Linked DNA regions of Mytilus edulis. The protein of the gene in region 1 interacts with the protein of each later gene in a pairwise test. Links are inferred from orthologs where the notes say so. Each region holds a gene or a part of one and is shown on either strand. Other genes may lie near its edges. The genes, in order: syntaxin-16-like and proteasome subunit alpha type-6-like.

What was found.
Region 2: the proteins of syntaxin-16-like (region 1) and proteasome subunit alpha type-6-like interact in a two-hybrid assay, tested with the Caenorhabditis elegans proteins (3 studies listed by BioGRID). The link is inferred for Mytilus edulis from reciprocal best matches to the Caenorhabditis elegans genes syx-16 and pas-1.

Annotation. Positions count from the first base shown.
Region 1 is NC_092348.1:67,002,178-67,015,590, forward strand, and holds the start of syntaxin-16-like, read left to right. Parts: upstream 1-7,003; 5' UTR 7,004-7,127; coding exon 7,128-7,208; intron 7,209-8,844; coding exon 8,845-8,939; intron 8,940-9,993; coding exon 9,994-10,046; intron 10,047-10,781; coding exon 10,782-10,888; intron 10,889-11,585; coding exon 11,586-11,748; intron 11,749-13,238; coding exon 13,239-13,348; intron 13,349-13,413. Other genes in the region: vesicle-associated membrane protein-associated protein A-like, read left to right, coding at 46-225.
Region 2 is NC_092346.1:58,860,577-58,873,437, reverse strand, and holds the start of proteasome subunit alpha type-6-like, read left to right. Parts: upstream 1-6,108; 5' UTR 6,109-6,199; coding exon 6,200-6,275; intron 6,276-12,861. Other genes in the region: adenosine 3'-phospho 5'-phosphosulfate transporter 1-like, read right to left, coding at 5,730-5,749. UniProt on the Caenorhabditis elegans protein: The proteasome is a multicatalytic proteinase complex which is characterized by its ability to cleave peptides with Arg, Phe, Tyr, Leu, and Glu adjacent to the leaving group at neutral or slightly basic pH.

The DNA.
Region 1 (13,413 bases):
GCAAAAACTTATGCAAATTCATAAAATTACATTTTTCTTTTTCAGGACAGTGAAGCAAGATTAAGAAAGACAGCCCTTAAAGAAACAGTGTCATCAACACCATCATACACACCTACACCAGAAACTAAACAGGATTTAATGAGTCAGATAACAGCGTTCCCTAATATAGCTATTATTATTGCTGCACTAATTATAGGAGTTATTCTTGGAAAAATGCTGTTATAACTATAACTGAACATGTGAATGCAACAAAGTGACTATATAAGACTGGAATTTAATAACTTTTAAAAAAATAGACATTTTAATTTGTAACTGTCACTGTTTAAATTTAAGATAAGTAATTTGGTGTAATAGTGAGTTTGATTCGAACAAGACCATATTAGGAAGCTTATTCATTACTATAGCGGTCGGTTAAGGACTTATTTAGCTTCAAAGTACCTCGTCTATAAAAAGGTTGGAATTTTTGTCCTAATTTTTTGCTTCTTAGTTATTTATACATTTTTAGCTCACCTTACCCAAAGAGCCAATTAAGCTTTTCTCATCACTTGGAGTCTGTCATCGTTGTCCAACTTCTCCTCTGAAACTACTGGGCCAAATTTAGCCAAACTTCATAAGGGTATCGTTCTGAAATGTGACCAATGACTTTGCATGCTAATCAATATGGCTAAAAATAGACCTAGGTGAGCGACACAGGCTCTTTAAAGTTTTATTAATATATTTGAATTATTAATTGTCCTTTTTTGTGAATAACACATATTTTTTTAATTCAAAATTTGGTTCAGTTTTCCAACAAAATTGAAAGATAGGTAAATGTGATATACAAGATGTTGACATATAGCACTTCATATTTATAAAGCAAGCACTTTTAAGGAATATGTCGTGAGTGATATTGAAATGATAAATGATAGTAGGGATTCTGTAATCACCTTGTGAAATAAGATTTTGTTGTTGTTAAGATACTGGATATAGCTAATGACAGCAACTAATTAGAATATTTAAAACTCATATAGAAGATGAGCAATATTAAAATATTAAAATGATAAATTCTTGTCAATTAAATTGAAATTGCTGAGGCACTTGTTCTACATTATGTGCTTAACATCCAAAAAAAATGTTATCTGCATGCAAAAAAAGAGACTAATACAAGCAGTTTATTGTATTTATTATATTTCTAACATTAAACAATAAATGAATGCTTAAATCATTCTTAATATCAGAAGTAATGCATGTTATAATTCATTATTGAATGATATAATTTCATACTTGTATGTACTTTCATCAAATTGATAGAATACTATATTGTGTATTAGATGTGTTCATACTTGTGTATTATATGAAAGGTGTATTATCATTTAACACATATGTTTTGGGAGTTTTGTTATTAAAAGAAGTATTGATAAAGCATATATAGTTCCTGGAATAGTTTTATACATATTCTATCGAAAAATTCTATAAAGGTGCTAGCTTTGAATTACATAATATTTTAATTCAGATCAAATCTGGTTTTGCACAAAACCCATAAAATTTTCTGAAATTCTCTGAAATGTCTATAGGAACTATACGACTATATTTGAAAGAAAACTTAATGATGATCATATGCACATGTGCATTTTTAGGCCTTTGTACAAATGTTGTATATTTCATTTTTTAGACCAAAATTTAAGTTGATGCACTGTTTTGTTTTCCATGGTCTTATTTTGTTTTGTTTTAGTTTTTTTTATGAAAATGTTTACTTTTTCCATTGTTATTCTTTTTGTTTGTTTAGACTGTTAATTTAATTAACTTCTTTTCTTAAGTTTTGCCTTATTTAAACTAGATTCTATGAAGTCTAGTTGAAGGTTCATAATTTCTTTTTGTTTTATTTAAGAAAGACACCAAATGAAAAGAAAACAAATTTATACTTTCACACCCTTAAAGTACGGAACAATAAAATGTTGTACAATTATGCGATACATTTCTGCTTTCTGACATTTAAAACTTGAAATCATAAACAGTGGTTGTGATAATGATGCCAAAATATAGGGATTTTCAGATGTAAGAAAGTAATATAAAGTCCCCTTGTACATATGTCTCATCACAACCATATCACAGCTTTTGATATTGTATTGAAAAGAAGAAATTTGGAGAGAAGTTTTGTAACGTATTGGTTGATACTTAATATGCAAGTTTTTCTTTCTTAAATATACTAGAACATGTGTCAGTTTGATGTATAATATTTATAATTTATTAGATAAGATGTTATTAAATACAATATCTTCTATTTTCATGATTTTCCTGTTACCCAATGCATAACTGTCTTATGAAATTGAATAATGTTTTCTCTTGGTTGGAATTATTACATGTGTAAATTAAAGCTTTTTCTTTCGAATACTTTTACAAGCTTTCTAGGTTACCAGTGATGTAAGTTCATCATATAACACTTATTATATAACTTTATAAATTTTCATAACTATAATTTATTAGAAAGACTTTCTGATCTATAAACTTAACATAATAATTTTCTAGGTTGATATTTGTTGACTTTTTTTTTTATAATACTGACTTTTGACTCCAATTGATATTTTTTGACAGGCTATACCTACTCTACTCTGTGGTAGGTCGTCCTGGTACCAAGTCCAGTAAATGCAACTTAAAGAAGTACATGTATAATCAAGCTTTCAATCTATACAAATGTTTGGGTGAATTGCTTTATATTTTCTTTGCACAACAAACACAACTGAAAACAGTAAACTTTTCCCTCAATTTCACCCATTATATGTTTAATTTTACTTTATTGGTGGCCCTTACTTGACCAAGTACCAGGAGGTCTTACCACAGAAATAGTTACCGGGGTACCTATTGAAAAATTATAAAGTCTGAGTTAAAAGTTGGTAATATGAAAATAGTCTATTGAAAGTGGGAAAAAAATATTTAACAGTAACTGTGCATTGACAACTCCTGACTTGAATTATTAAATGAGTGATGTATATATTTTATAGATGTTCTTTTATACAATGAAAATTACATTGAAGGCACCTTACTCTAGTTCTTAGTTGATTTATTCTTTCTCAAACCTTTGTAAACATAATCAACATCTGGTTTTGTCTTAACTTGTGCTTCTTCATTGGTTAAAATTCTCTTATCTCCCTGCTTTTGCGCAAGTCACTCAATCCAGATATATTTTGGGTTATGAATAAGTGATCATTTTGATTTTCAGTGTTTCTAATGGCCATGGTCTTGTCTGTCCTTTGTCTTATGTTTAATTTCAAATTTTCTTGTTAAGATTGTTTTGTGTTTTAAATTTAGTAGTTTCTTTAGGTTAGACGTCAACCAATCTTCTTTTATCACCAACTTCATTGTATTACTAGCAGAATTTAACAAGAGTAACACAAGATTGCCACTTGTGGAACAAGAGTAGCATCCTCTTTGATTCATGTTTTTGATTATTTTTCTCTGACCTTTTTGACACTGGTACAATTTTTATATGTGACAACTGTGGAGAGAATAGAAATATCTAATGAAGACTTACATTAATAACATTTAGTTGGAAGGTATGGATTCTTTCCATTATGTTTTTCACAAATTTCTATTTAAGAAGTTTTGATAAATTTGTTTCTTACATTACAACTTTGCCATCTGGTTAATTAAAAACAAAATCACTGAAAACATAAAAAAAAAAAAACCTGATCCCCATTACTAAGAGAAATATAAATGCACAAATTTTTCGAAACAGCTTTTAACTTTTTTACAAAAACAAGTGAATGAAGTGAACAGGTATAAGTTATTAGACAAAGGTTTACAAGACAAAAAATGATATAAATAATTTATTAGACTTAAGGTGGTACCTAACACTTTAACTAAAATTAATTTGGCTCGTTTAATTTTCTTAAAATTTTGACAAAGTATTTACTTTGACCCTTTGACAAAAATATAAAAATTTCAAAAAATTTGAACCAACCGTTTAATCAGAAAAATTACACTGGTTATATAACAGTTTGACAAACACTTATTTTGATCATTGAGAAGCTTAATATTCCCTTATGAACACAACGTCATTAAAACGTTCTGCTGATTTTACAGAGTTATCTCCCTGTAGTGTTAGGTACCACCTTAATATAGGGAAAGGAACAAATGAACAAAAGGATATATATTTGCTGAATGACATCTACCTGTTGATTAAAAAAGATTGATATTTTATACTAGTTTATATGTAGTTTTCATTTTTCACATCATATTTCAATATTAGTATTGGATAGTCTTGGACTCTGGGTTCAACCTAGTATAATTCTTTGTTTCCTCATTTTTAAGTGCTATGTCCTGGAACTGACAGGCGCAAACTTCAAAATAACAAAGCCAAGCTGGGTTATAAAATGACCAGTACTTTAAGCAAGGGTGGAATGGGATATTTAAAAATAATTTATTATGGCTTGTTAAAATTTAACTGACCAATTATTCCAGTCATATGTGTGTGCAATTTAATCTGCAATTGAGAATACTTCAATGGTTTTCGGTGTAAAATCATGTAATTTATTTATGTGCTAAGCCACTGCTAACTACCTGCTTTGAATGTAATACAAGTAATCAGTTGTATATTCAGTATGTAACATTATAGATGTAAACATTTCTAACTGATGTTACACAACCATCATTTCTACTGCTTCAACCATTTGTTACTTTCATGGGACATCATTGAAGAATAGAATGGAGTAAGTCCTGAAATGAAAGTGTACAAGTCATTTAGTTTGTTAAAATAAACTTTTATGATGATAGTGATTTTATATTTATTGCCTTAAACACTGACACATAAGAGGAAAAAGTCATGATTTTTGTTTTAAAAAACAAACAAATATTGTATTGGATTCATAAATCATACTTTGTTTCAACTGTTAGGTTTGATCGATATTGAAAATAATGCACTTCTAATATACCCCAATGGCATTCATGAAAACAAAAGAACACATTACATAACACATTACAAAAATGATTTCAAAGAAAGCCTTAGTTTATTTTCTGAAATAAAATAATCTACTGGGCAACATTACTGTCACATCTAAATAAAAAGAATGGTGTCACTACTGGTTTGAAAGAAATATTTTGATTATTCACATCTACAAAAAAATGTGTAAAATTGCTACTTTTTGTAGAGATAAATCTGTATGAAATTTCACATCCGACACCTAGAAATTCTGAAGTCAGAACAACTTAATAGTTCTCCCGTTAACAGCCATGAATGTTTATTCTCAGTCAACATGAACAGCTGGTGGTGAAAAAAATTGAATAAAGTTCCTCAGATATTCCAGAGGATAGAATTACCATATGAACCACCTTAATATATCTAACAGTTCAACTCAACAACAACTTGGGTCAAATTATGATTAAAGTGTATTTTAGCAACATTTCCTGGATATTTCTTTGTTATATTATTTCAAAAATGAGATAAATGTGTAAACATTATTATAAAACAACATAGAAAATTTATTAAAAGCAAAGTTGCTTCAAGTCCCTTGATTTAAAAATCAAGATTGAGAATGGAAATTTGGAATGTGGCAAAAGAAGCAACAACCTGTCCAAATAGTCAAAAAACGGGCCAAGGTCAGATCTTAAAAGTTTCATAATTAGTAGGGAAAGTAAAATCACAAAAAATGAACTCCAAAGAAAATTCAAAACAGAAAGTCCCTAATCAAATGGGAAAATCAAATGCTCAAACACATCAAACAAATAGACAACAACTGTCATATTCCTGACTTGGTACATGCATTTTCTTTAGTAGAAAATTGTGGATTAAATTTGGTTTTATAGCTGGCTAAACCTCACTATTGTAGACAGAAGTTTGTTTCATTGAAATAAGTAAAATTGTATAGTTCAAGCTTTAAACCTTACTTTTTTTTCCACAATGAAATAAAACTTAATATATTTTCCTTGGTGTGTGCATCTCCTTTTATATAGTCATCATCAAAATAGGATGTGTTAAATAACCAATGAAAAAAAACCAATCCATTAAAAAAGTAAGATTAAAGAGTGAATGAATAACTACATACCTTCAGGTGATTGTATAGCCTTCAATTATAAATGAAAGGTAAGTGATTAAATATGGTACAGTTTATGCAGCTGTGTGTGAATCATTACCATGCAGTATATATATAATTCAAAGGGAACAACCACTTAACTTCAAGTGAGGAGGGGGGGGGGGTAATTTTTTTTGCCTTTAGTTTGATTTTTCTTTCTTGGAAAGTGCAAACCTTTTTTTTTTTAGTTTTTCAATGCTGTCAATTTTTTTCAAAATTTAACATGCACTATGGCATTGGAAAAATCAGCATTCAAAATTATTTGTTTTTTTACAAATTGAGGATCAGAATACACAAAATATGACTACCTGAGCACATGCAATTAATATTTAAGGATGTCTGCTGGTCATGTTTTTGAATTCTTGTCATATTTTCGATTTTCTCAGGTTTTATCCATCCAAATGTATTAAAAAAAATTTTACACGACACCCCCCTTTTGTCTTCATAAATCTGTTCAATAGATCATTTCAGATTTAGTGATCCGGCGGCATGAAATCCTTGTTATTTTTTCTTGGTTTAAAGGGTAAAAAACAATTCCAATGTTAACAAATAGTAAAGTCTGAAGAAAACCCTTTTCCCGCCATTTTCTAAATGTCTCGTATTTTGAAAACTACACACGATACTAATGATTTTATTACTTTATTTTGTTTAAATATCAAAGTTGTTTTCATTTTAAGCAACCACATGAAATCCTTGTTATTTTAAATTAGAGCAGCAGACATCCTTAAATGCACAATTATATTTATTGCAACATTGATGTGGTGTTCCTGCATAGGAGGGATATACAATTACAATAGAAACTATTTTTATTTTTTTCTAAATACTCTTATTGATACATTAAATAATTATTATAATATAATAGATACACTTTTACATGATCTTGCATATATTTAGAATTGAATTCGATAAACAAGTCGACCAATACGTGTTACGGAGCACCGGAGTAAACCATGTGAGAAACAAACAAGACTTTTATTTACTGCGGATGATGGATTTGATGAAAACAGTTTCCTGAAAATTTGACAGTAGCCGGCTTTCTTGAAGATATTCTGTAGGAGAAAAACACAAAGAGAAAACATTAAAATGGCAACACGAAGTTTAACAGAGGTTTTCATTTTGATGAGAAACAATGCTTTACAAAGTCGTCATATGTTTTCTGAACATGTAAGAAATCAATAGAATTAAGAAAACAAACTATAATACTTTTAATTTTCGTTTCATCATCATGTACATGTATGTCTGTTTTCTTCAACAAAAACTTTCATTATATTCAAACTTAAAAGATCTGCATTGCAATGTATGTTATAAGACATAAGAAGATGTGAAAGAGGTGCGAAAAATACCATAAACTCATACTCAAATTCAAACTCATAGTCATAGATTGAAAATAAACTGACTCAACTACAAATGTATTGCAATGGCACATCAAAAGATGTAACTGAGTGGGGAAATACAAAGATGGATAGGTGCCCACAGTCCCACTCTCCCCCGTTTCTGTTTGCCTTGGGTCTGTCCATTATCCTGGTTTGATTGTTTGCCATTATGCCGGCATTATTTACATTTTGAGAGCAAAAAAAGAGGAGCTGGTTTAATAATGTAAATATTGAAGTAATTACATTAAACTATGAGTTTTCAATCTGTCTGTACATCAGTGTATTTTGCCCTTATCAAAACACAACTTATTACAATAACCATACGAAAAGCCTAAATATATTGTTTATCTTTTGAAATTGAAACAGTATCCAAAAGTAAAAAGCGACACACACAGAGGCATATCTTTCAAGACCAACAAACACTTAGGCCAAATAAAAATATATGTGTGGTTCCAGTAACCCGACCGACCCTAGAACTTTTTTTTTCATTTCTGAAAAATAAATTTTCAAACGATCAAATTTTGAGGATTGTGAATTAAAATAATTAAATTCAGATTTCTGTCATAAGTATCTGTTATGGCTAAAATGCAAGAATTCATAACTAAATGCAACAAAATTAACTAAAAACATATCATGACTGTTTTAGTTTACAACCAAACACATGTAAAAATGGTGGACTTCCGGTTGGGACGTATATAATACCCTATTTTTTAAAAGTATGTAACTGGAACCATACATATATTTTTATTTGGCCTTACATGTACAGTGGAATCCCCGGTGTCCGCCAACCGGTGATACCGTGCATTAGCTGATTTCGTCATATTACCACAGCAACACAAATAAAATTGTTCTTGTTATTGTTTTAGTATTCCGAAGGTATAAAAAGAATAAAATTGATAAGTTCAAGAGTTAAAATATTACTGCAATCCCATGATTTACAATATTTGGCCAATTCCCATTAAGAAAAATTACATCTGACATCAGATAAAATGTGTTTTATTTAAGACAAATCTATATCAGATTGAAATAATTTTTGCTCTGCATGCTTGGCAGTGTGTTTGGTTCAAATTCAGGCATATTTCGTAGCAGAAAATCTTTCCTTTATTCAAAATAATCTTTGTTTGGAAGGCATGCGCAAAATCACTGGATATTGGAGGAACTGACTGACTGCACCATACTGAACAGCCTTGCAATTAGTTACTTAAAATTCATCACCACACAAATAAAAACTGTTGCCTATTGTTTTTGTTTTTTTTATTATTATTATAACCTCTCTGAAATTCTTTATTGGGTCTTGATCATGATGGCAACATAAAAATGGGATAAGAACAGCCATGCAAACCTACAAAATAAAAAATAAAAACTTGTTAATTAAAAATCACAATGATTAATGTGCATGTTCTGACATCCAAAACATTTAATTTTAGGTTAATGATGACCGGATGGCACTTGTTTCAAATGCAGCTTCTGATATGGAAATGGGCAGTATTAATACAAAATCATCAAGACTGCCTCCAGAATGGTAAGTACGACTAACGATATATTTTTTTTTCTTGTGACACACAGAAAAAATTAGGGTCTATAGTTTATTTTTAGATATTTTTTTCATGTATACATCTTAATAGGTGTAATACCACCAACCAAATCATGGTACATTACATCCGGTTGTAGACCAAAATTTGGTCGAAAAAAATATTCCCTTGAATAATTTACTTTCAGGGGAGATAATTCAAACTTTAAAAACAAAAATTCAAAGATTATATTGACTTATACAAGGTTATGCTTCTTACATCTTAAAGCAAATAAAAATGACTTGTACAAGTATTATCCCTGACTGTTTAGTAAACACTAAATGTACCTCAAAAGTATAAGATCAAGACAAACTGCAGGAACAAAGTGTTTTACTTTCAATAACCAAATGGTTTGTTAATTGGTACATTTTTAAGCTTTAATGCATATTCCAGGCAGTTGTATTAATTAGACTTTTTCAAATATAGTAAGCAGGTAAAGAACACATGATACTTTCATCACAAACACCATAGCCCTTAAACATTATAAAATAGTCCATATTGTTACAAAAAATAAAAATAGAGGCAATAAACAAATAAATATAAAATACTTTTTATTCCACTTCCTATTTCAAGTAACAAAAACCAAAAATAACAATGAACAATTTTTTTTTTAATTTTAATTTTGGAATCCTACATAGACATGATATGTTGACAGAGTTGTGACAAGATGGCCTTGAAGCAGACAAAAACTTGATGTTTATCATTAGTGCACAATTAGTAATATCAAGCAAAGAAATCAACAGATACTGAAAACTGTCATGAAAATGTACACTTTCTGTAGACAATAAAAAAAATTGACTGATTTTGATAAATCATGTTTATTTTTTTTCCAAAAATAATGGTAATGATAATTATTTGAGACCTCTGTTTCTGAAGCATCACAGTAAAAGTTTAACCAATTTGACACTAGTAGTAGCCGAAAATGACCATTTCCACCTGACAGTAAAAGGCATTCATACCCTCTTACATAGCATAATAAATACATTTTACAAATTATTTTGACAGGGTAGATGGAGTAGAAGAGGTACAATATGAAATGACAAAAATCAAAACTAAAAGTAAGTATACAGATTTTTTCAGATTTCAATTTACATATGTAGATGTAATTATTGCAACCATTGAAAATGCAAATGTACCCATTTCTCATTAGTTAACTTTTTGGGTAAAGATTGCATGAAATGCTATCAAAACCCTATGGTACTGACTTGATATCTAAATCTTCAAAGTTTTATCACTACCTTTGAGATCCACACAATATGGTGCATTGATCATAACATTCTTAACATCCTATCCGTGAACATTACCAGAAATGTATCAATAAAATATATACTCAGATATTCAGTTAAAAAATTATGTTATACTTGTCAAAATTAGATAACTTTTGCAAGGTACATGAATCTAATTAATATCTATTCTATAAATATCAATGATGTCATCTTTAAGAATAAGAGTTATCTTCCTTTGTTTAATGGTTTATAAAATGCAATTAAATTATTGAATTTTACTTTCCACTTATAAATTGTAGCAATCTTCACCATTCAGTGCTTACAAACACTTAGGTTTCACAGTTTGGATAATATGATAGAGATTTCCAAATAATATATCCCAAATTTTGGTTGGTCAGGCCAAAATAGCTATTTTAATAAATTTTATAATAATTTTAGAAATTTACAGTATGCAGAATCATTGTTAGCTGGAAGGAATTGTTAACTTGAACTTAATGTTATTGACTGGTTTTGTCGGGTTAAACAATTGGACCTTTAACATAAAACTGCATATTTTTGATTTTTTAGTGAAGGAACTTGCAACACTCCATGACAGACATTTAAACAGACCAACGTTAGATGATAATGTGCAGGAGGAACATGCTATAGAAATAATGACACAAGATATTACACAGGTTTGTTTTCATGTTAAGGGAGATGATTTGAGATATAACCCAAACAGACAGCAACCCAATGACACAAAAAAAACCAAGAAGACATGAAGTAGTCTATAAATATACTTCAAGAATAGACCATTGTAAAGCTCTATATGCCTATCGCATACTCAATTGTGTTTGTAAATTTAACAGAAACCATTAAAAACTACTGTCCACACTGAAGTCTCTGAATGACAAAAATTAGAATACAACTAAGGAGCACCACTGACAATGTTCCTGACATAGGGAGGCACATATACTTGTTTCAGATGTTTAATCTCAATCATTTGAATATCAAAAGGTATATAGAAAAATCAGGACATAGAAAACATTTGATGAATTATATTGCTGAAGTAGATAGTCAAAACACAATTGTATGCAAAACAATAATAAACTCTGCCCTAGCAAAGAGTACACAATTCAATCATCCAAATAGCACAATTTTATTAGTAACATTCAAAATATTTCATACTGTGAATTCACTTATTTTTCATTGGTAGTAATTTTCTTTGATTAGGAATATTTGATTCCATGATTTTGCTAAAGTCTGCATACAGGGAAATATATTTAATGTTGTTCAGTTGAATTCATTGTTTATCTTTACCATAGAAATCCATGAAAATTTATATCGAACGAATAATTTTGAATCAAGAGTAAACAATTAGTTTTCTTGCAGATGTTTACCAGATGTCAAATAACAGTTCAGAGAATAAGTCACAAAGGAAACCATGGGACAGAGCAGGAAAAAAGACTAGCCAAAAATATAGTATCATCTGTGGCCAGATCACTACAAGATATGTCATTAAATTTTAGAAAAACACAATCAGATTACCTCAGAAGTAAGTTGTTTCATCTTTTGATAGGGTAGACTAGAAATTCTTTGATACTGACACTGATGACCAAGGATTGTTCCATTAAAACATACATGATACCCAGTGAAGGCACTTTTAAAAAGGAAACCACCTATAGAGTCAACTTACAATTTCACTTGCATATCCGCTATACAAAAAGATAGATGACACCCTACCATTGTTCAGATTTGGAAGTGCCTTCCCTGGGTTCCATGTATATTTTTATGGAACATCCCTAAAATAGTCAAGAACACAATTGTATAAATAGTAATATGACAAAGTCATGTAAACTTGTCCTATAACTTTGATTTTATTGTTACATAAAAACATTTTCACTGAAACCTTTAAGTTTTTCTTCGCTTCTAAAAGTCGGAGCTTCTTGTTGACTGATACAGATCTTCATCTGGTTATTTCATACAGTATTACACATTTACAGTTCCTTACTTGTAACTTAATTAATGAGTCAGTTTTAGTCAAACCAAGAAACTGTACATTTGTAATAGAATAAACTCAGTAAATTTGGCATCTTAAGGTGGCTCGGGCATATATGAAGTTTCTATCAGAAGTGCCGTATTTGTGTTTATTTTATTCTTTACAGAAAGTGAAACAAAGTGGTAGAAAAAAAATATGGGGTCACTGACCATTTAAGCTCAAAATTTTACTTTTAAACAGGTGTGTAAAAGGGATCGTTTTTCAATGAAATGGTAGGGAATATAGAGGTGTTGACATATTTTTATCGGAATATCAAAAAATTTCTATGACACTTGGTCCAAAACTCTTATATAAAAAGCTGAAATATAGCTTCAAACAGTGAGCAAATAAAAACATAAGTCATCAATAAAAAAAAAATATTTTGCTTTAAAATCCAAATTTAGGCGGGAAAATGGTGAAATTGGGTGAAATGTCATTTTGAGCCTTTCACAGATACACATAATAATGATAATATTTTTTGAAGGACATAACTACAATGAGTTAATATTTCTAATCAATCAAAATATTTTAGAAAATATTATCGAATTTACGACACATACTTTTCGTGTGTATTGAAATTCTTGCATGAAATTATGTGCCGTCAAATAGTCCGGATCCACCGTACCTTAAACATTGGAATATGAAAACCTAACCTGTGCACAATTGAAATATTCAATACTAGTAATGTTCTAATCAGACAAGCATTGCTTTTATTGCTGTTTTTCATTTTGACTTTTGTCTTTTTGATAAAAGGTAGAAAAATCAATCTATTAGCTAAATCAAGATAAAATGTGGAATATGGATTCATTATTAATCACATATAATTTCAATGTTTGAAGATTTTTTAAATCATGAATTTAAATATAAATGGATATCAATGAATGAAAGTATTTACATCAACTGCAGACAGCTCTGAGTGTCACAAGTAAGAAATAGTTCTAATTGGACAAAACTGTATTTTTCTATATTTATTCAAAAGTGAACAATTTCTTCATTTTTCATTTCAGAAATAAAAAGTAGAGAAGAAAGATCTAGAGAATTTTTTGATACAAATATAGGTCCAAGCTCAGGGTCATTTATGGAGGAAATAGAACCTTTTGAAGATGTATTTGACAAGGTAATGGAGAGAAGCTATCTTTGTTCATCATTTAGAGTTGTGTTTGATGATTTCTATAGATGCAA
Region 2 (12,861 bases), on another chromosome or scaffold:
GTACATATATTTGAATGTTGATATTACTAACATTTTCAATTGAAAATGTGTTTGTTGTAATACATGTATTAATGATGACCATCATAGCCAGGCCAACCTCAAACAGTAACTTTCAACTCTACTACATGTACTATGTCTTGAGATAATCAACCCCCACAAATTAATCCATGATAATAAGGGTCAAGAAGAACAAGAACATCGACTTCACCCTAGTAAAAAATAAACCAAAAACAAACCAAATGGTTATTTACATCATTAAAACAGAAATTTAAGTATAAAAAGTTTAAACATATCAAATTTAAAGAAAAGAATTGAAACATGCACATATTGCTCCATAATTATTATTGAAAATTTAAAGACTTTGGCAAATTAAACCATGTCTAATAGAGGGAAAACAAGCATAATTTTTAGCTTTTGCATTGTGACATGTGTGTAATGTAAATATACATTTAAGTACGTGTATACAAGGGATTATTTCAAAAATCCAGTTTGAAAATAATGTCTAATAGGATGTGATGCATGTTAACATTCAAAATCCTGAATAACAGCTGGCATTAACAAAATACAATCAGATGTTAAATGCATTTTGCCGAATTATGAATAGATTTTTGTAGCATAAGGTATTATAAAATTAAAATAAGAATTAGAAATTTCTGTTACAATTAATTAGCACTAGCAAATTTCTAGCAGGAAATTGTGCTTAAGGTTTTGAACAGTATGCTTTTATGCAATTTATTTATTTTTACTTTAGGCTTAAGTCAATAGTCTTCCTAATTTTGAATATAGTTTTGACAATGACTACAAATGAATGTTGTTTTTTTTTTAATTTGCTGGTTAGGTGCCACTTTCAATGCCCTTAAAATAGCTTCATGTTACGATGCATATAATGCCAGCCAGTTTTTTGTTTGCAAGGCAGCATCTATAAAAATTTCGGAAAAACCAACAATCTACATTCATACATGTACATATACGGCTAGAAAACTGACAATCTTCGTCATTTAAGATTGAAATAGATTTCACCTTTACAAGAGTTAAAACTTGCAACCTCATTGCATAGATTACTGTTATAACTGTAAAAGAAGTTCACACATGCATAAAAAACTCTGTAATTCATGTCAAGATATAAACTAAGACCAACAAAAACATTTTTATGGTTTTCAGTGTACCGGTATATGTAATATTCTTAAAGAAAATAATGCATGTTTACAATGCAAACCAGATACTCTGCAGGGCGCAGCTTTATACGACCGCAAAGGTCGAACCCTGAACAGTCTGGGCAACTACATGTATGGACACAACATTTAAGCTTGATACAGCTCTGAATTTGGATTGTGATTAAATAGTTGACACAACATAGGTCTCTGACACAGAATGAATGTGGTCTAAGAACTTAAACTTAAAAACTTAAAAATTTTAAATTGGACATTTACCTATTATGGTCCAATATCCAAAATCTAATTACATGGTTAAATTCAGCATATATCATAGAACCCCAATTGCAAGAACTCAGTTTTTAATGAAATCAAATAATGTTAAATTTTAGACCCCTTAGACCTCAATGTGGACCAATGTGGGCCCAAATATTAAAAATCTAAATACATGGTTAGATTCAGCATATTCATGATATTGATGAACCCAATATATATTCAATTTTTGTTGAAATCAAACAAAAAGTTTAATTTTGGACCCCAATTTGGACCAACTTGAAAACTGGGTCCATAATCATAAATCTAAGTACATGTTTAGATTCAGCATATCAAAGAACCACAATAATTCATTTTTTGATGAAATCAAACAAAGTTTAATTTTAGACCCTTTTGGCCCCTTATTCCTAAACTCCCAAAAATCAATCCCAACCTTCCTTTTGTGGTCATAAACCTTAATTTAAAATTTCATAGATTTCTCTTCACTTATAAATACTAAAGTTATTGTGCAAAAACCAAGAAAAATGCTTATTTGGGCCCTTTTTGGCCCCTAGTTCCTAAACTGTTGGGACCAAAACTCCCAAAATCAATCTCAACCTTCTTTTTATGGTCATAAACCTTGTGTTTAAATTTCATAGATTTCTATTTACTAACTAAAGTTACATGTATAGTGCAAAAAACCAAATGTCTTTTGACGACAACGATGACGCCAACGTCATACCAATATACGACCAAAAAATTACGGTCGTATAAAAATGTTAATTTTGAATTTAATCTAATGAATATATGTTTAGAATCTTTTTTGTTTATTTGAAGCAATAAAAAAAAATATATAGCATCTTTGGTTTTTGAGTTTTCCAGAAACTTAATAATTTGCAAGATGAATCTCTCAGAATATCTTCAGTAATTGAATTTCATAGATCAATCTCAAAAAGGAATGTATTCACTGTGTTGAAGACCCATTGATGGCCTTCAGCTGTTTTTTTTTTACTCTTTAGTCTGGTGGTTGCCTTTTTAACACATTCCTATTTCCATTCTCTATATAATACATGTAATATATACCCATTACATCATTTTACAGCTTCAGTTACATTTTTGTTAAAATATCATGCATTTAGAAATTTATTAGAATTCAGAAAACTATGTACATGTCCTCCCCACCATCATGACTGTTTTCGTAAATTTGAATTTCAATGAATAATATTCTTACATGTTGTTGTACTTGTGTGACATTCAGCATGTACAATTCAAGTGTTAACCAAAATATTGTCAGACTAATGTTTCAAATTGAGGACATTTAAATTAAAATATGATCAAAATGACATAAAAAATGCCTCCATCTGAAAGCACTTGTTTATTATAGATATGAAATAAAAACAGAATACAATTATGGTCCTACATGTATTCCAGTACACCTTTCCATAACAGGTGAATCTGACATAAATGCAATGCTACAATAAATATTATGGCTGTGAACATGGTGAATGATGTTTCTCATTGTATACATTGTATCCATGTATGTACAAAATTGCCTGTTTAGTTTGTTCATTATCTTCATTGATCTTAGCTGTTTTAATATTTGAAATTTTGCACTTTGATTTTTTTATACACAACCCTAAAACAAGGGGGGTATAAACCTGAACAAAATGTACATTGTAGGGCCGTAAATTGCCTGCCCTGTAAGGGGAGGCAGTTTATTATCGCCGAGCGGAGCAGGGCAAAATTTTTTTTTGACCCATTCCATGCAGAAAAGGATATTTTTACTTTAGTTAAGGGAAAATTTTGCAAAAGACTTAAAATGAAAGCCCCCTGAAGTTGGTCATTTTTTGTGGTCCAAGTCGAACTAATTTTGACTTCGTTTCAAAGACACAATTTTCAAACCTTAAAATGAAAATGCATACTCAATCACTCATAATTTTATCTATCAAGTTCAAATTATTAAAACGTAACAATGTTTGTATACACCAAAAAGTTTTATTCTGGCTTTGTGAAATGCTAAGGTAATTTTTTTCTAACTGGACAAATCCCATCTTTTTAGCACTTCTATGCATTCAATATTCCCAACATTGTCACTTCTATGTATGCAGATGCAATAGTATTTGGTGGGAAAATTTTATGTGTGCAAAGGAGTTGAGTTGGGTACCGACCGTTCAGATCCAAATATTGAACACACCTGCATGCCATTATGATTAACCACCTTGTTGTTTTAACTTACAACCAGTGCTATAAAAATAATGCATGATTTCAACCAATTTTTTCTATTCAGTGGTTTTTTTTTTTCCATTTTTATTTTTGTCAGCCCGCAATAGGAGGCAACTACCTACATGCCTCTATGTAATTTACCGCCCTGACATTGTATGATGTATAAACCAGAAAAGTTCCTACCATACAGTGTTGTCATCATATTAACATTAGTACCTCACAGACATGGGGTAATTGAAATATGTAATTGTAATTGACTGTAATTAATTACAATTTATCATGTAATTGAATGTAATGTGTAATTGAGCATTTTTTCAATTACATGTAATTGAATGTAATTAATTACATAGCCAAAATTGCCTGTAATTGACAATTACTTTTCAATTACAAGTCAATTACATTTGAAATTTTGGATCAAAAGATTAAATCTTGTGTTTTCTCAAAAAATTATTAAAAGCAATAATCTTAACAAATGTTGTAAGCTGACAAAGAAAAGCCTTCACAGTATACTTTCTGTATTAACACAACCATGGTAGATTCTTCATTTTGTATTGAATGATAAAAAAAATGTAGACACATGCCATAAGAAACCACTAGGAAGTCACTGTCTTGACCTTAATTAGTAGATTTAGATAGATATTTTAAGACATTGATTTAACATAATTAACTTTATTCAAGGACTTAAATAACCAATAAATATAACCTCTGGCTATTTGTTTTATTACAAACTATATAATGACTGTTTTTATAACAGTTATGTTAAACAGATATAAGGCTAATTAGAGAGAGATAAATATACCCCTAGGGCCTATAGGTAAATGTTTAAATTCTTGAAGGGATAATGCATATGACAAAATCTCACTTGCAAAATTTGTTCACTATATATATGAATGTTGAAAGAAAACATTTTATCAGATTTAAAAATGAGCTCCAAGAGTGTACTGGAACATTTTACTGTTCCTGATGACTTCCAAAATGGAAATACTTTCAAAGGAAAATGTATGCATTGTGGCACCCTCATTAGTCATGTTAGTGGAAGTTATAAAGTTACATCCAACTTTGTTACACATATGAAGGTAATACTATATAAGAATTTTAAAAATTAATAAATTCATAATGCTTCTTTTTCATTTCTAATCAGATTTCATTTATCTTATATCCTCTAATAGCTTACATTTAAATTTGGAAAATATTTTGTTTATTAAATTAATTAGTTGTGATTAAAACTAAAGTTTATTTTTGTTTTAAGAAGTCAGATTTCTAAATCACTTATTTAAGATAAATAATTTGAATAAGCTGGGATAAAAATGAAAATCATTTCAAAAAATAAAAAATAGTGCTCTTTTTTTGTATCATTTACAATCAAATAAATTTAAATAAATGTAAAATTTCAATAGGTAAATTAAAACAATTTAATATTTTCAAGATATTAAATAAGGCCTTTTGTAATTTTCAGAGAAAACACAGAGAATTGTACATTCTGCATTCTGAGAATAAAGAAATTCAACCAACATTGACACAATGCATAAAAAAAAGTGTAAAATATTCACCGTCTGATCCAAAACAGTTAGAAATGACAAATGCTCTTATAATGTTCATAGCTGGGGATCTTTTACCACTCTCTATTGTCGAAAGTGAAGAATTTAAAAACTTGATGGAAAAAGCTGACACTAAGTATCAAGTGCCTAGCAGAAAGCATTTATCTTCGAAACTTCTACATGAAAAATCGGTTGAAATAAAAAATAACCTTGTAAATACTCTTAAAAGAGCTGAAAGTGTGAGGTACTACCTCATGAATATTTTCCCAAAAAATATGTAGTACCTCATGAATATTTTCCCCAAAAATTTACATCATTTTTGCACATTTTACTGTTTTATATAAAGTTTTCTTCCATTCCAGTTTTTGTCATTATTGGTCCTAATTCCATGAAGTGAATACATAATGCACTGGCTAAAAGATAAAATATGTCAGTATTGTCACGCCATATGTTTGAAAAATGTGACATTTTAGGGGAAAAGCACATAATTGCTGATTAAAACAGTAACAATATGTTACTATGTGACAGCCACATATAACTAAGTATAGTAAAGAGTTTACAGTACCTTTTGTGAGAAGGTTTCATGTTATTATTTTTTTTACTGTAAAACTCCTCTTATTGTTCATTCTCGGCCTGAACCGTATCACTATCACTATTACAGAAAGTTGTTTAGTTTATTTATGTGTGTGACACGTGAACCGTAATGAATAAATGTCAATTTACCTGTGATTTCCTTGGAACAAAACTTTTTGATTGATTGACGAGCTGCCAGCTAGGTTTGACTTCCGGTACGAAAAATAATGATAAAAAAGAAAGGCTAGCTTTGATAATAATATTCAGTTTGAATTGAAACTTTTATATTAATGGAAAACATAAATAAAAATATAATAACACGGCTTGATGCTTTTTATCAATTTACTCTATGATATTTTAGTTTTTTTTTAAATACGAAATCAGACAGTAAAGTCAGCACTTTTGAAAGAGCTTTATCACCCGGTATTTTTTATAATTTCATGGACATTTGTTCATAAAAAGATGTCTCGAGGTAGCAGTGCAGGTTTCGACAGACATATTACTATATTTTCTCCTGAAGGACGACTTTATCAAGTTGGTAAGGGATACTGTTGGTTCGATAAGAAGAAACGAAAAAAGGGGGAGGGTGACAACCACATTATCACATATATTTTTACTTTACATACGTCTCTATAAGTTCAGTACACACCACTTTCAAGACTTAGAGGTTAGCATCATTAAAGCTTTTTGAACTTTTGGTCTACATAAATTCTTAAGGTTCATCATAAGGAATTGAAAAATATGGCCGTGTTTACACCTCCAAAATTACTATGAGTACAGACAAACTGGTACATCCAGGAGAGTTTTAAGGCATGGCAGGAACTAGATATATAAAAGTTATATGAAGTCTACGTTTCAGAAAATTAAAAACTTACCTGGATTTTGATGTTCATTTTTTTCCAGTCTGCAGAAGATAGCAAAATAAACAAACACCCGAGTTTCATTTGATACGGTCCACTCAGTTACACAGTTTAAACCTGTTAAATCACCTATTGTTTACAGGTGTCTATTGTCCATCTATTGTCCATTTAAATCAATACTACTCACAACATTGATTATATGAGGGGAGCTTCTCAATCGTTTTCACTACTTAGTTAATTTTTGCACCTTCTGCAGGAACGAAAAAAAATGGATAGCAAAATCTAGAAAAGTTTATAATTTTCTGAAACATAAAATGCATTTAAAATTTATATATCTAGTTCCTGCCATCCCTTAAAACTGTTGCAGGTGTATAGATTAGTCTGTACTCGGAGTAAAATTTGGGGTGTAAATACGGCCATTTTAGCCAAAAGGTTATGATGAACCTTAAACCACATCTTCCTATATCTATGATAAAAAATTAAAAGCTAGCTGCTATATATATAATTCAATAAACATTCTATAGCATGATAGTATATGTTACAGGGAATTTGTAAAATCAGGGATTTTGTAAAATCACTGGACTAATCAGTGATTGTGTAAAATCACTAACAGTTTCAGTGGTTTGTAAAATCCCTGAAATTGTTCTGGATTTTACAAAATCACTAAAAATAGAGCTAGAGATTTTGTAAAAGTATAACATGCTATTAGAAATGTGCAGTGGCTGCTAGCCCAAAATAGAAGGGCGCCGCGCCCTGGGTGCCCTCAGCCGCGCCCTGGGTGCCTTCATCCGCGCCCTTCTGCCCTGACGTCTTTTTCCAAAATTATCTTGTGCCGTTTTGGTAAAATTTTGTTTCATCGATTTCTGATCTCCAAGTTAATTACATATATGACACCTGTGTGATTGCCCCCGGGTTAATCATGTCATTACAATCAATTACAATGATAAAGACTTCGAAGGTGTTAATAACTAGGTAATTTAATTAGGACAATGTATCTTTTTGTCATACTTTTGATGAATGTGTCAGCGAGTGTGTTTAGCTTGGGTCGGCATTTTCGATCTCCAAGTCACAATGGAAGAGCGAATATAAATGAAGACTTTCATGACTTTAGAATTGAATACAAGTCATCAAAATAAAACTATGCCTTTACAGAAATGCCTTCCATCTCAACTTGTTAGCGACAAGCAGTTTTTAATTAACCCAAACGTGGTGGGAATTGATTTTGGAGTTACTTCCCCTGTTTTAGCTTATTAAAAATTTGTGCTCTAAAATTATTATCTAGTATAAAAAAAAAGGAATAAATTACCAATTGAATATATAATAACATAATAATGTTACCTTAAAGATATTAACTGTCTTTGAACATATTAAAAAATATATATTGCAATTTCTACTTGATAATTATACTTTTAGCAATCCATGTTCTAAACATTGACATTGTTAAATTAGTAATGCTCTCAGATTCAGATCATATCATGTATTAAAAGCTATAATTCCTATATAGATAAGAAAAACACATATTCTTTGATAATGGGTAGAGTGAAGTTAAACTGTAAAAACATAATATGTTGATGAAGATATACTATATCATTCATAACTACACAAACAATTAAATAAAGACTATAGTTAAAAAGCATCTTTATTTAAAAAAAAAACCATATACAGTAAAAAAAAAAAGAGATTCGTTAACTCGTGATACACACAGAAACGTAGACAAAAAAATGAGCAGCGCCTTTTCTTATCATAAAAAGTGCCCTGCCCTCCACTGGCACCCTGCCCCTTTTGATTTCTAGCTAGAGCACTGATGTGTTTTTCTTAATATAAAGATAGACCAAATGAATGATCACTAATGATTTATAAATACAATGTATATTTGTTTAATAAATAAACTCTATGAGCTAGAACTTGTGTATAATGATAATGACTAAAAGGCATTTAAACAGGTATTTAGACCACTCTGAATTTGCTTATTTTTGCAAGACAAGTTTGGGTGACATCCCTACCACTATAAGCTATTGATATGTGAATTCTCTTAACTATGCTGTACATGTCTTCAAGACATACATAATATTTTTAAAACATCTTCATCTGATGAATATAGTTTTTAACAATTTTTTCAAATCTTCACATTGAAGAACTTCATACCTTCATTTATCAACAAAATATTTACTTTATTTGGATTAAAAGAGTTGAGAAATTTTAGAAACTTATTCAAAGTTATACTACTTTGTGATAGAATACATGTGTCTGATAAATGATCAAAGTAGGTAAAACTTTGTTTATTTTTGCTTGGTTAGATTAACCTATTCATGAACATGCAAGTGCAAAACAAAGTGTTTTTACCAATGTTTTCTGTTGTCTTTTTTTATTATTATTTTGTGAATATAAATGTTATTTTATAGGCAGCAAATTAATAATACAACACTTTTTCATGCAGCAATAAGATGCTCTTGATCTGATATGCATGTAATATTTGCCACTGGATCACATACCCTAACCCACTCAATTTCTTATACCTTACATATATGTGTTTTTCTTCTCTAATGACAGCAATCAACCTAATGTTCTGATCAGTTTTTATATTTGATTTAAAAAATTGATATAATTGGTTTTATTTTCTACTGTAATTATACAGAAAAACTATAATAAACAGTAACTTTCTTTCAAACACGGTAGTGATAACAGCTTGTTTTGTCTTCCTTCTGTGGCTCATTGACCAAATAATCCAAAATGTTTATCATATTCCCTGGTTCCATATGTTGCACTTTAATTTTACCTCAATTATTTGAAGTAACTTTTGTGTGTATGTTTGCTCTTGATTTCAAGACATTTGTGCCTGAGCCATTGTTCTACAGTATGTCAGTTGTTTTGTGCATGAAAACCGCTCACTTAATATTAAAATAAAGACTAAATTAACCTCAAACTTATTGAGTGTTACTGTTGTAGTCTTTTTTCACAGAAATTCTTAATAAAAATGAATGAATGTATTTTACAAATTCCCTGAATTTAATCAGTGAATCTGTAAAAAAGATCTTAATTATTTCAGGGATTTTGTAAAATCACTAGTCAAAATCAGATATTTTATAAAATCACTAATCAGTTCAGTGATTTTACAAATTCCCTGAAATTTCAGTGATTTTACAAAATCACTGATTTCACAAATTCCCTGTAACATATACACCTTATCGCTATTTGTCTGCCATTACTGGATATTACACAGGTTCCCGTAAAATTTTGACGTCATAAAACAAAATTTCTGACGCCACAATGGAAAACTGATTGTTGTTGACGTGAAAAGTTCAAGCGGCCAGGTCAGCCTGGATTAGCGATAAGGTGTATTGTTATCTACATGTATTCATATCAAAATTTTCATAAGAATCTTATCTTATTATATCTTATTATTATCATAGATATAGGAAGATGTGGTGTGAGTGCCAATGAGACAACTCTCCATCCAAATAACAATTTATTCCAAATAACAATTTATAAAAGACTTAAAGTAAACCATTATGGGTCAATGTTCTGCCTTCAACACAGAGCCTTGGCTCACACCGAACAAGTTCTTTTTTGTTTATCTCCATAAGAATTTGTGAACACTTAATTATAATAAAGAAGGCATGTACAGAATAGAATAGAATATTTTATTTACCAAATTAGGGCCCCAGGAGGGCATATAGCATACAGACAATATTATACATGTATGTACCCTTTCGAGACTTGACATCCACACTTCCACAACGTCCATAGACGTCAGCTATATTTTCCGTAGCCTGCAAAGACCAACTGTCCAAAGGACTCATTGTCCATAGCCAGGGTTGGCAAAGTATTACCCACCCGGTAATTCCCAGGTCCGGGTTTTCCCGGGCTGGGCAATACTCCCAGAAATGGTAATAGTGGGCATTACTGGGCAATATGATTTTTTAAGCTTTTTTTTTAACACAAAATATTAAAGACTTGTTGTAGTTTCATAGTATTACAGCTAAATACATTCTTTTTATACAGATAACCATTGAGAGTCATTTTTAGAAGAATGAATATTCAATTTCACTTGTTTTTCCTTAATTTTATATGCAGGCAGAATATAAGATTATCACGTTTAACCCTTTCACCGATTGATGCCCAGACAAAAGCTACTCTGAGACGATGGCTTCCCTGGCTACTATATTACTCAAGTGGGAGATCTTCATAATAAATGTCAATAAAAACTTGTTTGTAGTTATTTGTGTATTTATTTCATTCACTAACACCATGTTCACAGTTTTGTTCATGTTTTGATAACTTATTCTTCATAAAATATTCAAATTTTCAATTTTTCGCCGTTATCTAGGTGAAATTCTCAAAATTCTGCTCTAAGACCCAAATCGTAATTTTTTAACCCAAAACGGCAAAATTTTGAAAAATTTTATGAGGCTGTACAAATTCCTCGCACTGAATGATGTCCATTCCAAGTGTTTTGTACATAAAACAACATTTTATGTCAAAAAAGTATACTAGTTTGGCTTCAATTCTTCCATATTCTTTCAAATTTTTTTTTCCCTCATTTCAAATTCTCGTAAATTCCGTAAATTTCGTCTGATTTTGACACGGTTTTCAACAAACGGAAGCGCCATGTTTACACTTTCATCCGGGTATTCATCAAAGAAAGATAACTCATGTTAGCACTGTTTTGAGCGGGAAATATAAAAGAGGTATTCCGATCCCGGTAAAACGGGACTCATCGTCAGCTGTCTGAAGCGTGAATCCCGGTAAACCGGGACTCATCAGCGAAAGGGTTAAGGATACATATTGTACCTTGTTAATTACCAAGCATTATTTCAATAATCCAAACTTTGATAAAATTGCTTTTTTTTAAGTGAATTGTCATTTTAACATTCATTTAAACAAGAATATTATAAAGAACATTATTTAAGTGTTCATATGCCAGGAAAATATAAAAGCGCCTTTGCTAAATTTCGATGTGGTGTGGCGCCAATAAGAATTGAAACAGGCAGATATGAAGGGGTTTTAAGTGAAAATAGATTTTGTTTTAATGATTCATGTATGCAACAGAAACTCATTGAAGATGAGAAACATGTTTTACTCAAATGCCCTTTATATTCACATACAAGACAAGAGGTTTTTACTAGAGCAGTTTCTTTTAATATTGATTTTTTAGACTTAAATGATGATGAAAAATTTATATTTTTATTTACAAATGAAAATTTGTGCTTTTATTCTGCCAAAATCTGCCATGATATTTTAATTCAAAGGACGAATGTTTTATATAGATAAAAAATGTTTTGTATTTTTATCGAGCTGTCCTTTTTTATGTAAAAGTCTCTCATAACTCTTTTGAGAGTGGCTCTTGAATGTTTTTAAGACTGCAGGGCTGGGCAATACTCATAAAACCCGGGTTTTTGCCAACCCTGTCCATAGCCTGCAAAGACATACATTGTCCATACCCTGCAAAGACATACTGTCCATAGGACTCATTGTCCATACCCTGCAAAGACATACTGTCCATAGGACTCATTGTCAATACCCTGCAAAGACATACTGTCCATAGGACTCATTGTACACACCCTGCAAAGACTTTTTATAGTGTAATTTGCGAGCATGATTCTACACTCAAACTCGGGACTCCTATCCCACAAGTCCAGGTTTTGAGTGAATTTCACTCAGTCTTTACCATGAAAATCATGCTCTCCAGTTACATTGGCACAGTGACCTAACTAAAGAATCCCACGGTGGTTATATAGGATTTTTAGCTAGAGATGAGTAGAGTCACAATGATATGATGACCACCATGACTACTGAGGTGGGGGAAGTCTCACAGGAGCACTTCCCTTATGTGGTAGATACTTAGTCTGCCTTAGATATTAAAAACTTTTTTAATATATTTTTGTTATCTCATTGTTTGTTTTGTTTTATGAAAATTATTGATGTTGTAATGTTTAAGCCCTTTGGGGCCCATAATTCGATTAGAAATATCTTCTTCTCTTGTTCATGTTTAATATATATATAATGTGTATTCCAAGTGAACAGAACATAAAAAAAACATAATTAACAATGTGAATACAGCATACAATATGTTACATGTATTACCATCTACAATGTACATGTATTTATCACTTTACTTTTTATAAATAATAAAATTTATTTCCCCCCAAAAAACTATGGAAGATATTGTCCCATGGCCGATACATCTGTAGAAGGTGTGGCTAACTTATCCTATGGATGTCATTAGTATTAGAAAAAATTCTGAATTAACATTACAGTATTTAA